Rhinolophus ferrumequinum: one gene and its partners. The protein of the gene in region 2 purifies or fractionates together with the protein of the main gene of each other region. This does not show direct contact. Links are inferred from orthologs where the notes say so. Each region holds a gene or a part of one and is shown on either strand. Other genes may lie near its edges.

Region 1 (8,018 bases), on a different chromosome or scaffold from region 2:
TCAAATGCTTTTGTTAGTATAGTTCACAAGGAAATGAAAAAACACTCTTGCAAAGCCACAAAATATACAGACGGTAACTACCCAGAAATGAGTCAATACCAAAGTAGATGTAGAAAAGGATACTGTTTCATGACTTCTTTATACTTCACAGTGTCACGAATATCTGGACGGGAAAGAAAGAATTAACTGGAATTCAACATATATGAAATAATACAGCATGAGACCTTCCACCAATAATATTCTAAGCAATAGGTCTCTCAAGTCATCTCTGCTTCCTCTGAGGAAAAAAAATTAAGTTTATCCCTCAGCATCTGAGTTACTTTTTAAATTTGTTTCCTAAATTTTTAAGCTAAGATCATTGAATTACGATAGCAAAAGAAGCAAGATTTTGAAAAGAAGCAAGATTTTGAAGAGAAGAATAGAAAGGCAAAAGGTGTCCTGTACCTTCTCTACCAGCAAGAAACTGAAACTAGACTCTTAGGATTCGCTTGTCAGCATCGTCTTCTAATTTCCCCAGCTTCACACTGGTTTCCTCCCTCGTAAAGGATAACTGCCAGGTAACCCAGGAAGAATGTTAGGCTAGGAGCTCTCAAGTTATGGTAGAGACGGTCAGAGACCAGGAGAAGATTTATGCAACTTAAATACCTTGTCAGTGATCATAAGCATAGAAAAAGGGAGCTGAATCAAGGAAAAAAACGTTTATTTCTTACTAATTCCTTAGTGGTAACAAAGGTAATGCAGACATGATTTTTAAAAAAAAGAATGAATCTGTCCAGTAATATCTAACTAAACCCATCTACCAGTCTGTAAACCTATCCCATCAACTATTAGAATTAGAATTCTATCCTTTGAGTAAGATGAACAATTTTTCCCCAAATTCTTCTCAAAACAATCTCTGCTTCTTGATACAAGGCCCTCTATTAGTTTGTGCGGGGTACAAGCAGCTTAATAGGTTTAAGAAGAATAAGAAGAGGATTGGCACACAGTGATAGTCTAGAAATCAAGAAACCTAGATCCTATCTAGAATCATGACATTGAATCACATCCATTCTTATTTAGAGTCACAGATTCCTCTTAAAGTCTTATAATTGGGAAACTTTCCCCAAAACAATGTACATGTGCATATATACACACATTTTCCCATGTAACTTTGAGAGTGGAAGCAAGGTTCCTACAAATCAGTAAGTGAACTACCACACAAAAACCCTTATACTCTAACTTTAAGAAAAGAAACTAAAAAGGTATATGTATGTATCAAAGCCTTTTGAAGGGTTTATGGCCTAGAAGTGAGAGGACTGACTTCCTGTCACTTCATTTTCCCAAATAACAACAGCCTGACACCCTAGGGTCAGAAAGAGGGGAGAAATAATGCTGAGTGGTAAGGAAATACATTTGGGAAAGAAGTAAACAAAGAGAAAATGTGAATAAGGGAGAAGCCTGTTTAGGGATTCTAGCAAATCCAAGCAAAGGAGAGTAGATACCGTGTTTCCCCAAAAATAAGACCTAGCCAGACCATCAGCTCTAATGCATCTTTTAGAGCAAAAATTAATATAAGACCCAGTATATCGTATCGTATCGTATCGTATCAGACCCCGTCTTATATCATATTATATAAGACCTGGTCTTATATTAATTTTTGCTCCAAAAGACGCATTAGAGCTGATGGTCCAGCTAGGTCTTATTTTTGGGGAAACACGGTAGTTTAGAAAAAATGAAAGCATTGAAACTGGCAAGCTGGAGGCTTTCCATTCTGAGGCAGTTTACTTACCAATATTGGCAGGAAAGGGAACTTCATGCACAGCCGGGTCCAGGTTGATCACATAAGGTGGAGAGCCTTGGCAATGCAGGTGTCCCGTGAGCCTCTGCAGCAATATGGGGAGAGGGATTGAGTGAGACAAAGAGGGCATGATAAGGGGATAAAGGACATTTCCTTCCATCTGAAACATTCACTTCCAACGTTGAACTCTGTTGAAATGCTACCTTTCTTTATTACCCACTTAACAGAGCCTCCCCTACTCTTGATCATTTACTTGTTTTGTGTGGGGGTTTTCTCTATCACCCCCAGTATAACAGTAGTTTCCTGAAAGCAGGAACCTTGTCAACCTCATTTTCACTGAACACGTACAGAATATTTATAAGAGTTTATTTGACAACAATTGCCAGGAAGCAAGATCTCAGATTCTCCTGAGAATGGCAGTTTTACAGTTTCTTTTATGCATTTGGAATTAAGAAGGTAAACATAAAGAAGATTAAATAACTAAAAGTGGGAGAAGGCGGGGTGTCAGATTACAGGATAGTTAATAAGATTACATGCTCTCTCGAAAAAGAGGCATTTCAAAGGTGTGTTGTTAACCAACCTAGATGCACAAAAACAATGGACAGGGCTTGCTTAAGGCAAAGATAAACCTTTTACTAAAGCAGTTATATGCCTGGGCCATCACTACTCACCACGACCTGCCCCATTAGGAATTTATGATCAGATCACCCTGTGAAGTTACTTTTCATCCACATCTAAAATATTATATAATAGGCATGCAAGACATATGTAATTCTTTAGAAATCTACACTGAAAGTCTGGGTGGTAGCACTGTATTAATCACTATTTACTTGTAAGCCTCTGCCTCCCAGGAGTTGGCAATATTATCGCTAAAACAATTCCAGTACAACTACTTAAGTTGTACCAAGTACTACGCACCGATAGTGTACAAAAGAGAGCGTTAATTAACCCAGGCTCAGGTCGAGAAGGCTTCGCTCAGGAAGGAACCGGAGATGCTGGCAAGTCCCCAAAGCCACGCGCTGCTCCCCTCCAACACCCCAGAGACCTCCCTCCCATTCCCCCACCCGCCACAGACAACCTCAAGCACACCAACTACGCCCGCGCCGTGTACGTCACCTGTACAAAAGTGGTTTTCCCAGATCCCGCCATTCCCAACACCAACAAACACACTGGGGGCCGAGGACCCCCCGAAGCCTGCGGCGCAGCAGCAGCCGCGGACGCCGCCATCTTTCCCCTGGCCCCGCCCCCTCTACCATAGCGACGCAGCGTGGCTAGAGAGACTTCCGCAATGTTCTGGGCTGCGAACGAGGGTAGATCTGCACCTGCCAGAAAGGGAAGAGCGAACGAGCGCCAGAGCATCTTCCTGTCCCGACCTGGCTCGGGAGTCAACTAGTGGCAATGGCGGGGAAGTGTAGAGTGTGGGAAGAGGACTGGAGTGGGCCAGAAAAATTGGAGCTCATGGTCTTAGGATTGGGCCTGGGAAGGGCAAAGCTCTGGTTCCCATGGAAACAAGAGGACCTAGGATCCCAAGGGCAGGACCCCCACACTACGAAAAAGAGAGTGCGTTTCACTTTTCGCCCACCAGGAGCGGGGAACACAGCCTACCGAGAAACGAAGGCTAAGGTTTATTCGGCGGAAGTTAAGCAGCCCAGGGCTGGACCGGCCAGGACTGGGTACCTACGGGGTTGCTGGGCAGCGCCCAGACCCGTTGAACACAGAACCGAGAAATTGCGAAAAGTTTCCTCAGCGGGACGCTGTATCCGTGTGTCGCAGTCCCCTGACACTAGCTCCTTGGCAGTCACCCTCAATGAACTACAGCTAGACCTTGGGGAGAAACGCTGGGATTCCAGTCGCAAGTAGGTACTAAAGGAGCGCTTCCCTCCACGGAAGCGTCCTGGGAAACCGAAAAGGTGGTGCTAGAGCCGAGACGTTTGTTCCTGCTCCCGACCACCGAGTATGTGCTGGTGGCCCTTTGTAGTTGTTAACTAAGTCATAGATCTAAGTTTCACACCTTGGCTGGCTCTGCCACTTGCTAGCGGTGTAAATCGTGGCCAAGTCATAAATTCCCTGAACCTGTTTTCCCTTTAAAATTGAGGTAAGTGGGGATGAGGGAGAAGGTGAGGGGATTAGAAAGCACAATCAATAACCACAAGATTGGCACCAGGATACAAAAGACAGTTGGGGAATAGAATCAATAATGTTGTAAAGATTTTATAGGGTATCCCACGGACACTTGTCTTATTAGGGAGACTGCTTCATGGACGGTGTGTCTGACCACTGCAGTGTACATCTGAAGCTGAATAATATCAATTATATATATATATATGTGTGTGTGTGTGTGTGTGTATATATATATATATATATATATATATATATGGTCACAGGATGTGGAGTACAGCATAAGGAATAGAGGCAATGGAACTGTAACAGCTATATATGATGTCAGAGGGCTAGTAGATTGGGGGAGTGGGGGTTATCACTTTGTGAGGGGTATAAATGTCTATTACATTGTTTTGTACACCTGAAACTAATAATAAAAATGAGATACATTACAGGGCGGTACTGAATGCATATTGTAAATTGTAAAGTACACTCCCTCATCTTTACCCAAGCTATATCATACCCCATGCCTCCTCGCAGTGTCACTAAATAAGTGCTCAAAATATTTTCTTGTATGAATTAAAGTACAATTGTGCATTTTTTATTTCCTAAATTTTAATGAAGAACTGATGGGGGAATGTCTCACTTGTTCTTCCTTCAGGTTTGTTGAGGACTCCAGTGGTCCCCCTCCACCGTATCTTAGTTTAATAAATAATTTTTTTGAGCCAGAGAAGCTAACAATGGCACTGATGGGGCTTAAAGAAACGACAGTGGAAATGATGACGCTGGACAAGCAAATAAAACAAGCTCAAATTTGGCAAGAACCGCTAATGAAGGAAACTTGGCAGCTACTCAGTGAAAAGTTACATGTCCAGGCTGAAAATAAATTCTTTCTGGAATACCTGACCAACAAAACTGAGAGGTATAGAAGGCAATTTGAGAAGCTGTGGAACAGCTATTTGCAAAGAAGTGGGGAGACTGAACAAAGGAGACAAGAATCAGCCTCCAAATATGCGAAACAAACATCAGAGCTTAACACAGAGCTCTTGCAGAAGGGCAAGATCCAATCTGATTTGAACCAGCAGTTGCAGGCATTGAGGGACGTTTCACTATTAAAGGAGAAACAGGAGAGAGCAATGCAGACATTAGAGGAGGAGAAAAGAAAAGTCCAAGCTGAGACAACTGGAAAGAAACAGGAAATCCAGGTCCAGTACCTCCAGGAAAAAGCATTACTGGAGAAACAACTGAGTGAGCCAGATGTTAGGCAGTTGGGAAAGAGAAAAGGAAAGAAGCTTAACAGGAAGATCCAGGCCTTAGAGTTGGCAGCAGAGAATTATACTTTTGAGTTGTACCGCAGTGTCCGCAGAGAGAACCAGCAGTTACAGAAGGAACTATTGCAGCAAACCTGGCAATGCCAGAAGTTGCAGACTACTCAAAGACAGTTCAAAACTCAGAAGCGGCAGCTGCAGCAGGAACAGTGGTATGTGGAGGGCTTAATCCGGGGGAGGCAACGACTGCAAGGCATGCGCCAAAAACAAGAACCCCTCCCATAGGCACCAAAATCAAGGATTAACCCACAGTAATTCCTAAAATATCGCTGATTAAATAAGGACTAGAGCAAGTGTTCTTAGGTGCTGCATAAACTTAGGAAGGCTTTTAGATCTCATTGCTATGGTAAAATAGCCATCATGATGTTTTAGTGTGAAGGTTGGCTAATAAAGATGTCTACTTTCTGCTGTGCTATGAAGGAAATTAAATAGGGTGATGTTACAGAAAGTGTGTTCAGGTGGAAAAGACCTCTGACGTAAACTTCAGTTTGAGACTTGAATGAGAAAATGAAGTATACAATGCAAATGGGGTAAAAATCATTCCAGGAAGAGGGAAGAGTGAATACAAAGGCCCTAAAATGGGAATGAGCTTGGTAGGTTCAGAAAGGTAGTGTGGCTAACATGTTGTTGGGGAATAATAATCAGAGAACATGGGTGGAGCAGAGGAAGATGAGGCTAAAAGGTCAGCAGTAGGAACACAAAGCGCCTTGTAGAACAAGGAAAGGGAGTGACTTAGATTCTAAGTGCCCTGGGAAACCATTAGGCTTTTAGCACGTGAATGAAGTCTGATTTACAGTTTTAAAAACTCACTACAACCTTCTTACGTGGAGTGAATCCAAGCCAGTAAAAAGCAGAAAAAAACAATTAAGAAGCTCCTACTGTAGTCTAGGCAAGAGTTGATGATGGTTCCAACTGGGATCGTAGAAATAGAAGTGAAGACATGGGGGGAGCAGACTATTGGGTGAGGGAAAAATCAAAGGTTAAGATGAAGCAGAAGAAAATGTTCTAAACTTTTCCCTTTGAAGGAGGTAAGCAGAATATATTTTTTTGATTGTTAACTGATTTTGAAAATGAAATATTTCAGACATACAAAAAAATATAAAACTATGACAAACTTACTATACACCTTAAGAAATAAGAACTTCCAAATTCACTCGTAGTCCCTCTGGATGCCAGCACTATACTAAATTTGGTGTTTATCATTCCTGTGCATGTTTCCATACTATGTTTATATATATTAAAATACATATACTAAATATAAATATTTGTATATACTGTACTTTTATATTTACATATATCCATAAACAATGTAGAGCATTTTCGTGTGTTTTTAAATGTTATAAAAATGGTACACTTGATGTATTCTGTAACTTGCTTTTCCCAGACATTATTTTTGAGATATATTCATGATACAAGAAGCTCTAGTTAATTTCATAGCTGTATAGTGTTCTACTATAGGACTACGTCACAATTTATCCCTTCTCCCGATGATGGACAATTAGGTTATGCATTAGAGTAGGTTAACAGAGACCCGAGAATGCATAATGTCTCAAATAACAGACTTTTATTTCTTGCTCATCTAATAGTTTGATAGATGTTCCTGGTTGGCAAGTAGTTCTTCACGGAAGTAGTCTTCAAGGAGTTAACTCTCTTCCTTTTTGTGCTCTGCCATCCCCTACAGCCCATCATCACGTGCATCTAACCCAAGGAAAGGGAAAGCAAACATGGAAGTACACTCACTCACTTAAAAGTTGTAGCATGGAAGTGACACATGTCACTTCCACTCATGTTCCACTGGAGAGTTGGCTTCCCCTTCCCTGCGGTGAATGGCTGGGAAATGGGGTCTAGCCATTTGTCTTATAATCCTATAATTTTGCAAGTTGAGTGCAGATTTTGGTGGACAGCTAGTAATCTCTACTACACATTGTTTCCAGTATCTATTATAAACTGTACTGCAGTAATCACTCTTGTTTATGTCGCCTGGTACACCTGGGCAAGAGGAGTTTCTCTATTATATACCTAGAAGTGAAACTGCTGAGTTTTTGGGCATATCTTCAATTTTGCGAGCTACCACCAAATCATTTCCCAAGTGACTGTATGAATTAACATTCCAAACCATGCATTCGAGTTCACATTGTTCCAAAACCTAGCGGTACCTGATACTGTCAAACTTAAGTTTCTGTTATTCTAATGAATTTAAAAACTTAAAAACTCAATAGTATGATCAGGAGAGTCTATACTGAGTCCTGCTGATCACTGGCCTGATCAGAAAAATGAGTGCCTGCAAGGACCCTGGATGACATTGGGCAAGTTTCCTATACTAATTCACTTTAATCGCAAATTATTCATTTTACCCAGCAGATTTCAGGAGCTAAGGAATGACTGAGACAACTGCATTTGGTACTTAGTTTAAACTCACTCCCATCCCTAGCCATCTTTTTACCTCCATACACTGTATCAGCAAGGAGTCAAGTAGCAGGTCGGAGTCAATGAACAACTGGAAACATCAATCTAACAGAGTTGTTTATTTCTTTTGTCATTGCCAAACATTTCCCAAGTCTTACTCACCAGAAATTAACACAGCTTCTTCACTTCTCCTCCCTGACAATCCTTATCTACTGAAAGGGCTCTAAGGGCACAAATGCCAATGAAAATGTAGAGTGGATGAATCACACCATGTCCTTCACTTGTTTCAAAATTACCTATTTTGGCAATATCCAAATAAGGTTTCAATGCCACCTTATTTGAAAGTGGTCTTCACAAAAGCCCACATTTAAAAGCTATATGGAAGATCACACAACAGTTAGAGTGGT
Region 2 (7,286 bases):
AAGGATGGCAAACATGGTGTTTACGCCCACACTAGACAGGTGCAAACTGCCACACTGCTTGTGTTCTTAGGACTGCTATTTACACTTTCCTGAGGTTTTAAGTAGCCTACCATAATAAGACTCTTTTAATGAATGGCATCTAATCTGCTAATGGGAAATCTGACAAATGAGTAGAGCTGAGTCTAAAGTAAGAATACACAGTGTCTGAATAACAGCTTAAGAATCACATAAGACTGTGCAGCAACTATAAAATTTTTGACTTTTACTAGACTGACTTGAGTAGCGTTGGAAGGTTCTGAGTGAAAGAGTGACATGATGATTTAAAATTGAGTTTAAATTTTAAGGTTGAGCTACTGCGTTGAGAATAGACAAGGTTAGAAGCAGAGAGATCACTTAGGAGCTTATTGCAATACTCCAGGCTGGTAACAGTACAGGTAGTGAGAAATTGTTAACTAGGAGACACAATGTGAAGTTCAAGCCAACAGGACTTGATAATAGATTAGATAGAGACTCTGAGAGAAAGCGGAGTCAAGATCGACACGTTAGAGATACCATTTATAAATATGAGAAAGCGGGGTGCTGTCAGACCAGCAGGTTTAGGTGTGAGGGGCTACCAGGAGTTTGGCTGGGGGCATGCTAAGTTTGAGATATCCATTCGACATTCAGGTGGGGATGTCAAATAGACAACAAGTATGAGTCTTGAATTTGTGAAGAGAGTAGCTTGGAGATATAAACTCGGGAGAAGTCAGCAAATGGATGGTAATTATAGCCAAGTAATGAATAAGACCACTTTATGAGTACAGATGGAGAAGAGTTCCATGAAGGGAGATCAAAAGCTCTCCCACATTTAGAGGTGAGGAGCAGAAGGCAGATCTAGCCAAGGAGACTAGGAAGGAATGGCCAGGGAAGGAGGCAGACAACCTACAAAAGGTAAAAACATTTTTCAAGAAACAATGGAGGTGGAAGGCAGGGAGCATGTGGGAAATCTCTGTAATTTCCTCTCAATTTTGCTGGGAACCTAAAAAGCTCTAAAAAAAATTAAGTCTTAATTAAAAAAGGAAGGAGTCCGGCAAAACTAATCTATGATGATAGAAATCAAAAGGGGGGGGTGAGGATGGAAGAAAAGGGAACTTTGTGGGGTGATGGAAAAGTTCTATTATCTTGTATTGGGTGGTGGTGATTTGAAATACGTAACTGTCAACATTGATGGAACGGACCACTTAGTACTCCTGCATTTTAATGCATGTAAATCTACAAAGAGGAATGAAAAAAAGATCAAAAGGAATAGAAATATCTGGGGGGAGGCAGATGGAGGGGAGGGGGAGAAGCTGGACAAGTTATTAGTGGCCAGACTGAGGAAAGCCTTATACACACAGTAAACACTTTAGATTTTGCCCCAAGAGCAATGGGCAGTTTGAAGAAGTTTAACCAAGGGAGTAACATGGTCCGATGTGTGTGTTTAAACTGATGGCTCTGGCCACAGAGCACAGATTAGAATGAGACAGGTTAGGAGCCTAGGAAGTAAGAGACGACAGTGATGCAGACTTGAAGAACAGGGGGAATGAAGTTTCAGATTTGAGTGCAGTTAGTAGGCAGGACCCTTAAGATGGGATGGTGGATGGTGTACAGAGGGCCAGGAAGACGAACTGTCATTCCTGAATCAGAAGGCCGGAAATGTGGTTTTAGTCCCTTCACAGCTGTGCGAATTCAAGCAAGAAACAGAAATCCTTTAGGCTTCTTCCTTCAGCGCTGGAGAAGCGGTCCAGTCAGCAGTTAAGGATGAAAACTCTGGAGTCAGCCACTTACCTGCGTTCTGACACTGGGTTACTTAACCTCTCTGGGCCTCAAAAATTTTCATGGGTAAAATGTGGAGAAAATAGTATTTATTTCAGAGAATTAAATAATGCAATGCATGTCAGGCTGACACAGAGCCTGGCACATAATAGGTGCTCAGTAAATGCTGGCTTTTAACTCTTCCAGAGTTAAAATCCAGTATTGCCTAACAAAACCTTTCATAATCAGGACCCTTACCTATCCTTCTGCTTTCACTCTCTTCTTCACTCTAGTACTACCTAATTTTACTTCCTCAAAAACATCAGATGGTCTTGCCCAGCGGGTTTCAAGCGCCCTGTTCCCTCTACCCGAAATCTCTCCCCTGGCTCTTTCCAAGCCTCATTTCTTGTTCCCCCTTTCCATGCCGATGAAGATTCTGAGGCCCAGAGAGGTTATAATATGTGCCTTTCTAGAAAATAAAATTATATCAATCGCTGGACTTCCTCAGGCAGCTCACTGTAGGGCAGTTAACCTTGACTTCTGATAATCTGTTGAAAGCTATGGAGCGAGGTCCCGGAAAACACGTAGGGAAGATGTTGAGTAAATATTCAGGACGTTTAAAATACTCATGCAGTCCAAACTTGAATCCCAGGTTACAAGGAAGGACGACTAGCCTGGGATTGAGACGATTTGGTTTTACCACTACAGCCAGCTGTGGGATCTCATGAAAGTGGCTTAAACTCCAGCCTCAGTGCCCTCTATGGGCCCGCGAAGATGCAATATGTCCCCCAAGGTGGAAGTGAGGACCAATTCTCCCCTGACAAACATGAACACTGGAAAGGGTCCAACCCGAGAGCCGTCCGCGGGGCTGCTCGGCCCGCATGGCAGCTGACAGATCGTTAAAGATCCGGCCTTTCACGTGCACGCGGCGGCGAGAGCAAGGAGCTGCGTGGCGGGGGCCTGAGCATGCGCAGAAGCCGCGGCCCGCCCCGCTCCTGGGCGAACGCTCTCGCGGCACCGCCTCCAGGGTACGCATCCCGGCCCCTTCCGCTCCCCGCGTACCCGGCCCTCACCTCTACGGTCGGGATCGGCGCAGCCAAATGCTCCGGGGTCAAGTTCCCAAACTCCTCCGCAAGCATGTCCATGCTGCTCACGAAGAAGGAAGAAGCAAACCAAACCCCCACGCCCGCCTTCGCTGCCTCAAGCGAAATGCAGCTCTCCAGGAGAGCGGTGCGCGGAGGCCTAAGTGGTCCCCGCCGCGCAGGTTAATTGAACACGCGACAGAAAGGTTCCGCCTGCTTCCGACCCGAACCTGCGGTGGAACCCGGATGTAGCTGAGGCGAAACTGGGACATTGCGCCCCCTGGTGTCGCACGGAGGTCTCGCGCAGGTAATCCTAAACCCCAGCCGACAGGTTTATTTCCAATTATCCGGTAATTGAGACCAATAGACCATATTGGTTATAATTTTTAAAATAAATCTAAGAAAAAAGAGTAAACGGATGACTTGCGCAACTTGAGCCACTGAGGCAGAGAATTCGTGTAATTCAGTCCAAAACTACATGTTGTGTAGTATGGAAAAATAGGAAACTTACCAAATGTCCAGTAGTAGGGGATTTGGGTAAAAAAAATGATGGTGCCTGCATGTGATATTGAAAAATTATGGTGCCTGCATTATTCAAAGATTAAAATAACCATAAAGTGAGGGGGTACTCACTCACTAGAGAGTAGAGCATAACAGGACAATAATTAAGACAGTGTTATATTCTAAAAGGAGTAGAGGTAAGATCCAGGAATAAATATCAGCACGTGGAGAAGTTTAGTATGAAAAGGTGACATTTTAAATCAGTAGAAGAAAAATGAATTATCCAATAAATGATGTTGGAACAGCTGATTAGCCATTTAGAAAAAATACATCTAAATGAATCCTGTATGGATGATATACTTAAATGTTAACAAAATTTGAGAAGAAAATGTAAGTGAATTCATAACAATTCATAACATTGTGGAGATGACGGCTTTCAAGGATGGCAACACCAACATTGTAAAGCATTCATAGATTTCATAATACAATTCTCACTGTACTTTGATTCCATGAAAATTACTTTTTTTTTTTAATCACCGTGAAGAGAGTTGTTTAAAAACACAGGTTGCAAAAGACGAAAGCTTGGTATCCCTAATTTAAAATGAACTCAAACAAATCAATCGGAAAATCCCTTTGGGAAAAACAAGGCCAAAGATACCAACAGTTGTTTAATGGGTACGAGCTTCAGTTTGGGTCTATACGAAAGTTCTGGAGGTGGATGGTGGTGATGATAACACAACAGTGTGAATGTACTTAAGGCCACTGAATGGTACACTTAAAAATAGTTAATATGGTAAATCTTAGGTATATTTTACTGCAATAAATTATGGGAATTTGTTAAATACACATTTGTCATTTTCTCATGAATGTATAGGCCTTGCACCAGGTTAGTCTAATTTCTGAATTAGCTGCTGCAAGTAAACTTCAGTTGCCTGTATCTTCTAAATATTGCACTGTTGTGCTGATGTCTGAAAGTAGGAGGAGAAAGGAAAGAGAAATGAGAAGAATCAACTCCTGCTCTTTAAGATCTTACAGTTTACTTAAAGAGACAGGTACACTTTTGTATCACCCTTCTGAATTACCAGAGAGCAACCTATTCAGAATCTAGCCTGAAAGGAGCCATGACGTAGTTTTTTGATAGGAGACATCTCAAGGTTGGCTTCTGGGAGCTTCTGGAACAGGGACTGTTTTGTCTGTCTTCGTAGTCCTAGCTCCTAACCCATTGAATAAACATGTTGAAAAAATAATTTGAAAGAAAAGCATACAATGAGTGATACCAAACTCAGTATTATCTTTCAGTTTTAATCCTAATTTTTAAATTTTGTTTTAGTTTCTCTCGGAAAGAGGAGGACGTTGGTAGCCGTGGTCCCAGGTTCCTGCATGGCGATCAATGGTTGGCTGATGCTGAGTGGTGGTGGCTGAGATCGCAGCTGCCACCATCCTACCTTCCTTACACCTGCCTGGCCCCCGAGGTACGGCATTGGCAACCCCAAGTCAAATCAGTGAATTCTTTCTGATCTCCTTAGGGGCTAGATTTTTAAAACCAAAAAGCCAGGAACAGTCTCTTGATTTCTCTGTCTTCTGCTGTCACATCTTTTTCCAGAGCTATGGGTGCAAAGAGACTGATGGTTTGAATAGGGAAAGGAAATTGCAGAGGGAAAAATGATTGATATCTTGGACTACTATCCCATCACTTACGTATAAAATGTTTTGGTAGCCAGATGAGAAAGTGATCAATGCCACTGGGGTTGGAGAGGAGAACAGGGAGCAATGGTTAAAGGAGTATAAAGGGCAAGAAAAAGCAGAGGTGTCCAAGCTGGGCCCTGAAACATTAGAATGTCAGTTTCTTGAGTGTACTCTTTGCCAGACATTAGAATCATACTTTATGTGTATTCTCTGGTTTAATAATGAACCCCAGGGGGATAAGTATGATGGATAACTATGATTATCCCCACTTGACAGATGAGGAGACTAAGGCTCATAGTAGGAGTTAAGAAATTTGCCAAGCAGAGTTGGAATTTAAATTCGTAATTATCTGATGCCAGAGCCCATGCTTTTACCCACTCTATTATTATACCACACTGAAAGAAAAGTGGTGGAAGGCATTTCAAGCAGAGAAAAATGCCTGAGCAATGGCATGAAGGTTGTAGATAACACAATCCCACATTCTGGCAATTGAGTGTGGGGCTTCAGTCGGGCTATCAAGGGAAGTGTCTGTAGATGACACTATAAAAATCCACTGGGGCTGATCATTGACCTTTATGCCATGTTACAGTTACACCTTATTATGAGAGGCTCAACACGAAGATACTAGGAACAAAAGAAAAAGATCATCCTCTCTTCAAAACCTTCATGCATTCAGGCTGGGAAAAAATATGTACGGTCCTGATTTCTATACCTGAATCCATTGATAATAGAACTAGAGAAGACCAGAACAATGTTGGAGAAAGAATAAGGGCTCTTCAGTCTGACGAGGCAAGGGCAGAGAGGGAATCCTTGAAGTCTGTTATTTCACAGAGAGGAAGGTGAGGAGGAACATAAACAAAAGTCTCCACTGTAGTCAGAGAACATTCTGCATTTTGAGTAAGACTGGGTGGTCCAAAAACCTCTAGCAGCTGCCGTGCCCACAGGCTTTTCCCTGAAAGCCTTACTTTGTGTCATGTGACATCACCATCCTGCCAAAAGCCATAGGGCTAGGAATCGGCCAAAGACAGCCATATAAGGAAGCCAAGGTGGCTTGTCATGAGACCCCTACCCAAGGAGGGACAGTGGGAGAGGAGGAATGCATACCAAGCAGGGGCAAATAACCCAATTGTATTCTCTCTCCTGCGACGTTTTTAATTAAGATGAACCAAAAGGGAGGGCAGCAGCAGGAAGCAGAAGCAGACAAGTAAACACCAAGTCAGCATTCGGTAGCAACACGACCGTGAGAAATACTTTTCATTGGGTGACCTAAGGAACCAATGTAGCAAGTGGTTAAGGGCACACATTTCAGGGTTTGACTCCTTGGGTTCAAGTACATTGACCAGCTCTGTGACCTTGGATGACTTCCTTAGCCTCTCTGGGTCTCATTTTGCACATGTGGGAAAAAAGATAGAGCCTTCCTCACAGCATATCTCGCAGTTATGTGAGATCATATATATTAGATGCTTAACGGTAGTGCTTGCCATGTGGTAAGTGCTTGGTGGCTATTATGATTCTATTCTGGAAAAAAAAATTACATTCAAATTCTTGACCAAGTCTAAGTGCAGCTGCTGGGATACATTCCTGGGTTTCCTTCCCCCCCCCCCCCCATAAAGCCTTATACTAAACCCCGAGGTCCCTTTTCTCTGAAACCTGAAAGAGGCTAACGTAGTAGTAAGCTTAGAAATGAAAAGATAATACTTCACTGCAAAAATAGAGAACAAGAGGACACAAGTTGATTATACAAACATAGTCTCTAAAAGATCAGGTTAAATCATGGAGAATAAAGTCACAATGGATTACTAAAGGAAATCAGAACCTGTTGGTTTTGTCACTGTCCTTTGAAGATGACATCCAGGTGGCTGTCCTCTGGATGCAGCTTTCCACACACCCTTGAGTGTCTCTGTCAGTGACAATATTGGGCTTAATGGACCATGCTTCTGATGAGATACGACAGTTTTTGTTCTTTTGCACTTAAGTCTTAATCATCACGTCTCACAATACTAAAACCCTTGAAGCTTGAAAGAGATTTAGAACTAATAAATTAACAGTTATTATCATGTGTTCTGGCTACACTATGCTTTAGAATTTGCAATTTCAAGTACATTATCTCGTTTGATTCTCACTGTATCTGCCAGGTAAGCAGGGAATAGAATAGGCAGGTAGGGTAGGAAACCTCCATTTAGAGGGTTCAGGGAGATTAAAATACTGGCTTGAGTTTATATAGCTATTAAGTAGTAGAAGTGA
Region 3 (8,099 bases), about 7.7 Mb from region 2:
AGTTGGGGCACTGCCTGAAGTAACCACGGACGAGGAAACTTGGAAGGATGTGGAGCTCTGGAGAAAACAGGGCCTTTGGTGACAGGACAGATCCAGGTTACAATGCCAGCTCCACCACCTACTGCGTGACCTCTAAGGTCACCTCTCGGAGCCTCAGTTTCCCTGCAAAAATGGATACACCAGGCTGCAGCATTGAAATAAAGAGAGACTGGATGGGAAGCCTCTATCCCAGTACGTGGCTCACATGATAGAAATAATAATAATCAAGGATCACAATTATTACTAGTAGGGTTCAGTGGTAAGGGAACCCCTGGTTCTACACTTTCCCAAGGTCCCCCAAGTCCAGGCCAAAGTGCACAGCTCAGTGTCAGAACTACAGCTAATCTCTGTTCTGCTCATAAAGTCTCAGACACACAGACGTGGCCACGTGGACTGAGGCTGGCAGTGACACATGGCCAAGGCCCCACAACTGGGCAGAGAACAGGCAGAGAACATCCCATCCCCATCCCCACCCCACAGTGCTCCAAACAACTGGCTGCTTGTTTGGTGTCTGCTAATCTGCCACTAGCGTCATCGCCTCCCAGTTGAGACCTGGCAGGACTGTTCAAGGATTAGCAAGAAGCTCAGAGAACTTACGAGTCCTGGCCACACCTCACCAAGACGGGACAAAGTTCGGCACAAGATCTATGTCATTGGCCGGACCGTGGACCTCTCTGTGTGGCCTCCTCTCAAATGACTCAATGATTCGCACATGGAAAGACTTGTCTTAACAGGTCACTGAAGGACCCGTGCCACAAAAGGGACTACATTCCTTTCTTGGACTTTGCACACCTTCTCTCTCTACGATGTTCATACATCTCCCTACAGACCCCCTCACCTTCTACTTCACAAAGTAACCAGCAGCCATCCACCAAGGACTCCGTGAGTTCTCTCCACCACCAACTCCCCAGATCTGCGCATCCCCTTCTGACCTCAGCCTCTATGGAGGGAAACTGCCTCCTGTCTAAAGCCAACCAATCAATGGGCTGGCCCGGTGGCTCAGGTGGTTGGAACACCATGCTCCAAACGCCCTCCAAATGCCAAGGTCGCTGGTTGGATTCCCACATGGGCCAGTGAGCTGCGCCCTCTACAGCTAAGATCGTGAATAGCGGCTCCGGGCTGCCGTGAGCAGCCAGAGGTTGGCATGAAGAGCAGCCAGAGGTTGGCATGAGCTGCCGCCGGCCGAGAGCTGCCGTGAGCTGCCATGAGTGGCCCACCTACGACGACCCATGATCGGCGACCGACTGCCTCAACCAGAGAAGGGGTGGAGCGCAAGGCTCATCACACCAGCACGGGCCAGGGAGCTGTGTCCTACACAACTAGACTGAGAAACAACAGCTTGAACTGGAGTTGGGGGGCGGGGGAGGTGGAAGAAGGGGGAAAAAATAAAGCCAATCTTCCTCTTGCTGGCTCCTCCCCACCCTCCTAACACCTCCTACTGTTCTATGAAGACCAATAAACACCCCATGAAGTCCTGCAGGCTGTGTGGCCTGGCCCCCACCACCTTTCAGCCTGCCCAGGCCACGCCAGCCTACTCCATGCCATGAAGGTGCAACATTCCCTCCTGCCATAGGTGGTTTGGACTGCCTGCACAGCTCTTCTCTCTGCCCAGCCCCTCCCACCATGAAAAACCAATCCCCAAGTCGGCTCCTCCTCACCATTTCAGCTCAAGAAAAATGCCACCTCCCTAACAAAGCTCAAAGCCTCTTGTCCCCCTCGTTGTAGGTGAAGTTCCTTTATTCCACAGGCTTGTGAATGCCTGTCCTTCATAGCCTTTACCTCAAATCTTCATCACACTCATCTGTGGGACCCTCTCATTCCTATCTGTTGAACCTTGTCTGTTTCATTCATTCAATGAATCAACAGACGATTACGGAACATCTACTCTGTGCCGGGCTCTGGCTACATCTGAGGGATACTGTGGGGAAGAAGACAGGCAGAGGTCCCTGCCCTCATGGACAGGGAAAGAGAAAAACAGTAACCCAGTGAACAAATAAGAAAATAGAGTGTGGCTAAGTGTGATATGACACAGAATAACTGAGGCGGGAGGGTTACTACAGGAAAGGCAGTGGGAAGGCCTCTGGAGAGTTGGCACTAAGGCATGCAGGCCTGGCATAGAAGGTGAACATTTATTTTTTGCAGAAATAAACGGATAAACCTCCTGACCATCCATCTTCACAAAAACCATGTGTGGTTGACAGTAACTATTATTTGCATTTTACAAGTGGGAACGGGCCCAGAGGGGGTAAATGACTTGCCCAAGATTGCAAAGTAATTTGGAAGTGTGGAATCTAGCGCCTCGCAGTCACAAGGGCCTTTTTCAAACCCAGTTTCTCTTTTGATTCCCTCCAACATCCCTGTGGAGTAAGAATTACCAAGTACAGGTGAGGAAACTGTGTTCTGAGATAAGCTACTTGCCCAAGGCCAGCCCTGCAGCATGCGGGTGGGCAGTACTGGGCCCTCCCGTCCCAAGGCCTACCCGCGACCCCGTGGGCCCAGTACCTTGTTGGCCAACTTCTTGTTTAGCTCTTCGGCAATGGAGTCGTTGAGCTTCCTCTTAAACTGCCACGGGGGAATCCGCACCGTGTCCACCATCTCCACCAAGACGAACATCTTGGCCTGCGCTGGAGGCTCTGGGAACCGGAGGATCAGTCATGCATCGGGGCCTGGAGCGGTGGGGATCCCCGAGCTTCCTCTGTTTAGTCCCAATCGCTGAGACACCCCCTCGAAGGCTGGCAGTGGAGCTGCGCAGTAGGGCCCGGGGTGCCCCGTGCGGAGAATGCTCCACTACCGCAAAGGGAGAAAACTGAGGCTCAGCGGGAGGGACCTCGGTTCAGCAGTGAATGAGCGCGCCAAGCCCCCTCGCGCCACGCGCCACGCACCACGCGCCTCCGCCACGCACCGCGCACGCAAACGCAGCCGGAGCTCGCACGACTTTGGGCGAGATTCCGAATCCCGTGGCTTCCGGAGAACCGACCAATAAGAAGCTTCTTACCTCCCCCGGATGTGGGGTGGCGCAGCCTATAGACTCCTTGGCGGAGGGGGTGGGGCGGGGCCTGGAGGGGGCGGTGCTTCCCCTTTCCTTAGAGATCAATCCTTAGACAACGCTTGCTGGTTGCTAGGCGACCTCGGTGCAACCAGTCATCTCTCGCCTGACCTGTGCCACAATCTCCTTACGGGTCTCAAGCCGTCCTCTGCCTCGCAGCCAGAGTGATGCAAACACAATATAGTATTTAGACCCTTCAGTACTCTGGAGATGGGGAGAATTCACTGAAAAGTGGCAGGCAGGATCTTTCTGGGGTAATAGAAATGTTCTGTATCTTTTTTTAGGAGGTGGTTACACAGATGTACGCAGTTGTCAAAACTCATGGAACTCAACACTTGCATTTAGTTGTGGACAGATTACATCTCATTTGAAAAATGGTAAAATTGGGACCAAAAAAACCACCTCAGTAGCTTCCCATTGGACTAATAATAAAATCCAAACCCTTTATGGTAGCTCACAAGGCCCTGCAGTATCTCATCCCTACCCACTCCTCCACATTCTCTCTCCCCCACGTTTCAGTCTCCTTCATCTTCACATGATAGCTAAGATGGGCTTGGGCTAAGAGAATTCCGTAACTCGTCCAAAATCATGGGCTGCTAAGTCTAAACCTCTACACTACACTGCCTCTAAAAGTTGGTGGGTTGTGGAAATATACTGTAGTATGTTTTAACCAAATAAAAATTTGAGAACTTAAAAAAAGTGTTGGGGTAGGTGACAGAGTCACTCAGAAATGCACGGTGCTTTAATTTGCTGATTTTACACACAGAGCGTTCTCTCTATGAGACTGGCTGTGATAAGACTGAATTCGACCTTCCCTGCACCATATTTTTATTTATAGGTCTGCCTGCCTCTCCTAAGATTTGAACTACTTGAAGACAGGGGAAGATATTACTTCTGCTCTTTATTCCCACAATCCCCTAACATCTTTCCTAGGAGATATTCAGTAAAAGTGTGTAGGAGACTATATTAATTCTTTGTCTCAAATATCTCTCAAATCCTTCCTCTTCATTCTATTCCCACAGCTACTGCCCTAGTTCAGGCCTTTTCGTTGCTCCCCTGGAGCTTAGCTACATACCCTGGCCTCAGTCTCTCCTGCAAGCAACAGCCACTCTGTCACAAAAGCCTTCCCTTCATGGATATCCTTTGCCCACACAGAGGGTCTGGACTGAACCCAGTCTTCTTCTCCAGCCTCACCTCCTTCCTGTCCTCCAGGCACTGGGAGCCTCCAGCCCCAAGGATGGAACAAGCCCTTTAATAGCCCTGCCTCCATCATTTCTTTACCTGGAAAACTCCTATGCATCCATTAGAACCCAAATGCAATGCCTTTCTCATTCTTTCTTTCATTCAACAGACTGTGTATCCAGCTGTTGGAGATCCAGTGGGGAAGAACTGGGCTCCTGGGCCAACTTCAGCTCAGAGGGGTTGGAGGGAGGACAGAGAGAAAAAGAATTTAATGGTCTCAGGAAATCACAAGGGCCTTATCATTATAAGATTCATTAACTTTTAATTCTCACAACTGCTGTAAAAGGTAGGGGCTATCATTATCATTATCTAATTTATCTCATTATCAAATGATTCTCGTTTATCTCATTATCTCATTTTGCCTTATCAAAGGCAGAGAAGTTAAGTACATCATTCAAGATCACACAGCTGGGGGCGGACGAGTGGCTCAGTTGGTTAGAATGCAAACTCTGGGCAACAGGGCTGCCGGTTCGATTCCCACATGGGCCAGCGAGCTGCACCCTCCACAACTAGAATGAGCTCAGTGAGCTGCTGCTGAGCTGTCAAGTGGCCAGATGGCTCAGTTGGTTGGAGCACGTGCTCTCAACCACAAGGTTGATGGTTCAACTCCCGCAAGGGATGGTGGGCTGCCCCCCCTGCAACTGGCAACAGCAACTGGACCTGGACCTGAGCTTCACCCTCCACAACTGAAAAAAAAAATCACACAGCTGATCACACGGCTGGTCGCTGGTAAGTGGGATTCAAGTAGGAGTCAAGCTCCAGAGCCCACAGTCTCTGGGCTGTTCCGCCAGGACATTAGCTCAAGGGAAGCCTTAGAAGGTTAGAACCAGAAATGGCACAGTGACACATCGTGGCTAGATGGACAGTGGATGGGAAGGGGCTGGAGTGGAGAGAAGAAGACAGGGAGGAAGTTATTGGGTGACCCCTGTAAGAGAAGACCCCTAGCAAGTCTGGTAGCCCTGGATAGCGAAGTTGGGCAGAGTCCAGAAGATTCTGCGGGTGGTCTCATCAATAGGGTGGATGACCTGGGCATGGAAGTAAGAGGAGCCAATGAGGGCTTTAGCCACTGGCTGGATGGTAAACCGTTAACAGAGAAGGGAAACTGGAGGAGGGCCAGGCTGGGGGAGGGGGCCAGAATCGCACAGCTCAGTGTTTGGGGTTCCCAGGCTTTTCTAATGGTGTTCAGCTCACAGGGTTGCAACAGTGATTTGTTGGCACGTTTGGTTTCCTCATTACTAAAAACAGGGACTAGACTTCATTAATTCTCTGCGTCATTCCATAAAAGATTGGAGGTGGCTTAGAAAAACACACAAAGACTTATTTAGTCTGCAAGTTCCTTCTCTGTCATATCCCTTCACATCCTCTGGGCCTAGCCCTGTGCTTGGCAAATGGTCAGGGCTTGTAAATATGTGTTATTCACATGAACAAAAGGATAGCAAAATAATTGCTAAGAGTGTAGGAGTGAGGGAGAAATAAGGGAACTAATCCAGGAGGAGGTGGAGAGTCAAGTGTGGTGAAGCGCCTGGAGTTCCCACGCCACAGCACGGGGGCTGAGCCTCCATGAGGAAGCCGATGGACCTCTCAGTGCCTCAGCGGCCTCTCTGTAAAATGGAGATAATAATAGAACTGAACTCAAATGATTGTCCATCAGTGGGAGACTGGATTAAAAAATATACAGTATATCATAGAAGGGAATACTATGAAGCCATAAAAAGAATAAGAAAGCTCTTTGTGTATTGATGTAGAATGATATTCAGGACATGTTTGTTAAGTATCAAAATGCGAGGCACAGAGCAGCGTGTATAGGATGTTACCATTTGTGTCAAAAAGGGAGAAAAATAATGTGTGTGTGTGTTGGGGATGGTGTTGGTGTGTGTGTGTGTGTGTGTGTATGTGTGTGTGTTTGTGGGCACGTACGTGCTCTGTGAGAGGTTGTCTCCAGGGTGAGGGGTGGGAGAGGGACACTGGTAGAAGGAAGAATGTTTAACCAAACACAATTTGGAATCTTTGATGTTTGGGATCATGGGAATATATTACCTATTCCAAAATGAATAAAATTTAAACTAAAAGAGCAATTCAGAGTTTTCACACCTTTTTAAAAAACCGTCTTTCGTCCCCCTTTTCCTCCAACTCGTGCCCCATATTTTGCTCCCTTTACCAACAAAACTGCTTGAAGGAGTCATCTGCGCTTGCTATTTCCAAATCCTCTTGTCCTCTCTTCAACCTGCTCCAGTCAGGTGTGGGGCCCTCCTGTCAACGCAAACTGCTTTCTCAAGGTCACAATGGCCTCCTCCACGTTTCCAGTCCAGTGGTAATTCTCAGTCCTCGTGGGCAGCATTTGTCCCCACTGCTCACTCCCTCCTCCTTCACACACGGTTTCCCTGTGGCTTGTAGGAGCCCACGCTCCCCAGGTTCTCCTCCCACCTCACAGACTCCTCTCCCCACCTCTAAATGTGGGCGGCCTAGCATTTATTGCCTTCTGACATATGACATAGCTACTTAGGTTGCTTTATTGCCTCTCCCTCTTCTTGACTGTGAGTGCCATGAAGACAGGGGTGTCGTCAGTTCTGTTCACTTGATTCCCCAGGTCAAGTGATTCCCCAGGTCCAGGCACACAATAAGCTCAGGATAAGTATTTCTTGGATGATTAAAAGAGAGGATGAAAAGAAAAGATTTGCCCTGAGATCTGAGTGGTCCTGTGAACTTAATGGTAGTAGAAAAAGAATTTGGCTCTAAGCGTTCTAATTTCCAATATGGAAACTAACCAGGTGTTCGGGGTACATCCAGATTTCCTTGATTCTGAGCTCTCAGAAGATTTTTCTCCAGGTTCTCAAGGAAAGAGGCCTCTGAGGAATGGAAGGATGCCCTTGACGGTGTCTGAACAGGCCCGGGAACTGTTCTCATTTGGGCACTTTTAAAATGCCCCTCGATAGAGGCAAAAGCACAGCTGAAGTGCCATTACGAACGGTGATTCTAGAAGGGACCTAAATGAAGGGTCCCAGGATGTCACTCTCTATTCTGGCTTGAGCCAAAACAAAGGGCAGAAAGTCAACAGGTATTTGTTGGGGCTACAGTGCATGAGGCCCCGTCTAGGGGAGGGGGACCAACAGGAAACAAACAGATTTGGGAGATCATTTCAGGCACCATCAGGAACTATCACATGGATAATATGGTAACACATGACCAGGGACTGCTGCCGTCGCCAGGACGACCAGCGATGGCCTCTCTCTGAAGGTGAGGATGGAGGTAAGCTCCAGGTGTTGAGAAGGCTGGAGACCCAGGGCCCAGGATGTTTAGGAGTGTGTGTGGGTGGACAGACGGCTGAAGGAGGCCAGGCTCATAGCCCATCCCAGCCCTGTATGTGCTGGGGGTCAGCCTGGCTGCTCCAGTCTCACGTCCTGAGGGTAGGGGATAGGAGAGGCTGGCTGTGGGCCAGGGACCCCCTCACCCCATCACAGAGAGCTCCTCTTAGTGGCTTTAGGGGATCCAAGCAGCCACAACACAAGGAGACCCTCATCCATGGCCAGAGGGCAGGCTCCTGCCCCGGGGCCCAGGCAAGGGGAACCCTCCATGCTCTTTCCTCCTCCTGTCCACACTGATCATTACCCTGGACGAGGCTGCCAGGCTGCCAGCAACACTAAAGGCAGGGCACGTTGTGCCCCCCATCTCATTTAAGATGCTGCCAGGCCCCCCAACCCTACACGATGTGGTCCCTGTCCTTCTCATTCCCTGCTCCAGCCACATCAGTGACCTCAAGTTTCTTGAAATGCAC

What was found.
Region 1: the proteins of POLR3B (region 2) and GPN1 purify together in Homo sapiens (affinity purification with mass spectrometry; 4 studies listed by BioGRID and IntAct, with this or other methods). This does not show direct contact. The link is inferred for Rhinolophus ferrumequinum from reciprocal best matches to the Homo sapiens genes POLR3B and GPN1.
Region 3: the proteins of POLR3B (region 2) and POLR3H purify together in Homo sapiens (affinity purification with mass spectrometry; 8 studies listed by BioGRID and IntAct, with this or other methods). This does not show direct contact. The link is inferred for Rhinolophus ferrumequinum from reciprocal best matches to the Homo sapiens genes POLR3B and POLR3H.

What each region holds. Positions count from the first base shown.
Region 1 is NC_046296.1:53,153,203-53,161,220, forward strand, and holds the start of GPN1 (GPN-loop GTPase 1), read right to left. Parts: upstream 3,063-8,018; 5' UTR 3,005-3,062; coding exon 2,894-3,004; intron 1,863-2,893; coding exon 1,769-1,862; intron 164-1,768; coding exon 124-163; intron 1-123. Other genes in the region: CCDC121 (coiled-coil domain-containing protein 121), read left to right, coding at 3,176-3,633, 4,539-5,430. UniProt on the Homo sapiens protein: Small GTPase required for proper nuclear import of RNA polymerase II (RNAPII). May act at an RNAP assembly step prior to nuclear import.
Region 2 is NC_046293.1:14,150,220-14,157,505, forward strand, and holds the start of POLR3B (DNA-directed RNA polymerase III subunit RPC2), read right to left. Parts: upstream 3,100-7,286; 5' UTR 2,919-3,099; coding exon 2,847-2,918; intron 1-2,846. UniProt on the Homo sapiens protein: Catalytic core component of RNA polymerase III (Pol III), a DNA-dependent RNA polymerase which synthesizes small non-coding RNAs using the four ribonucleoside triphosphates as substrates.
Region 3 is NC_046293.1:6,459,931-6,468,029, reverse strand, and holds the start of POLR3H (DNA-directed RNA polymerase III subunit RPC8), read right to left. Parts: upstream 3,011-8,099; 5' UTR 2,929-3,010; intron 2,673-2,928; 5' UTR 2,653-2,672; coding exon 2,542-2,652; intron 1-2,541.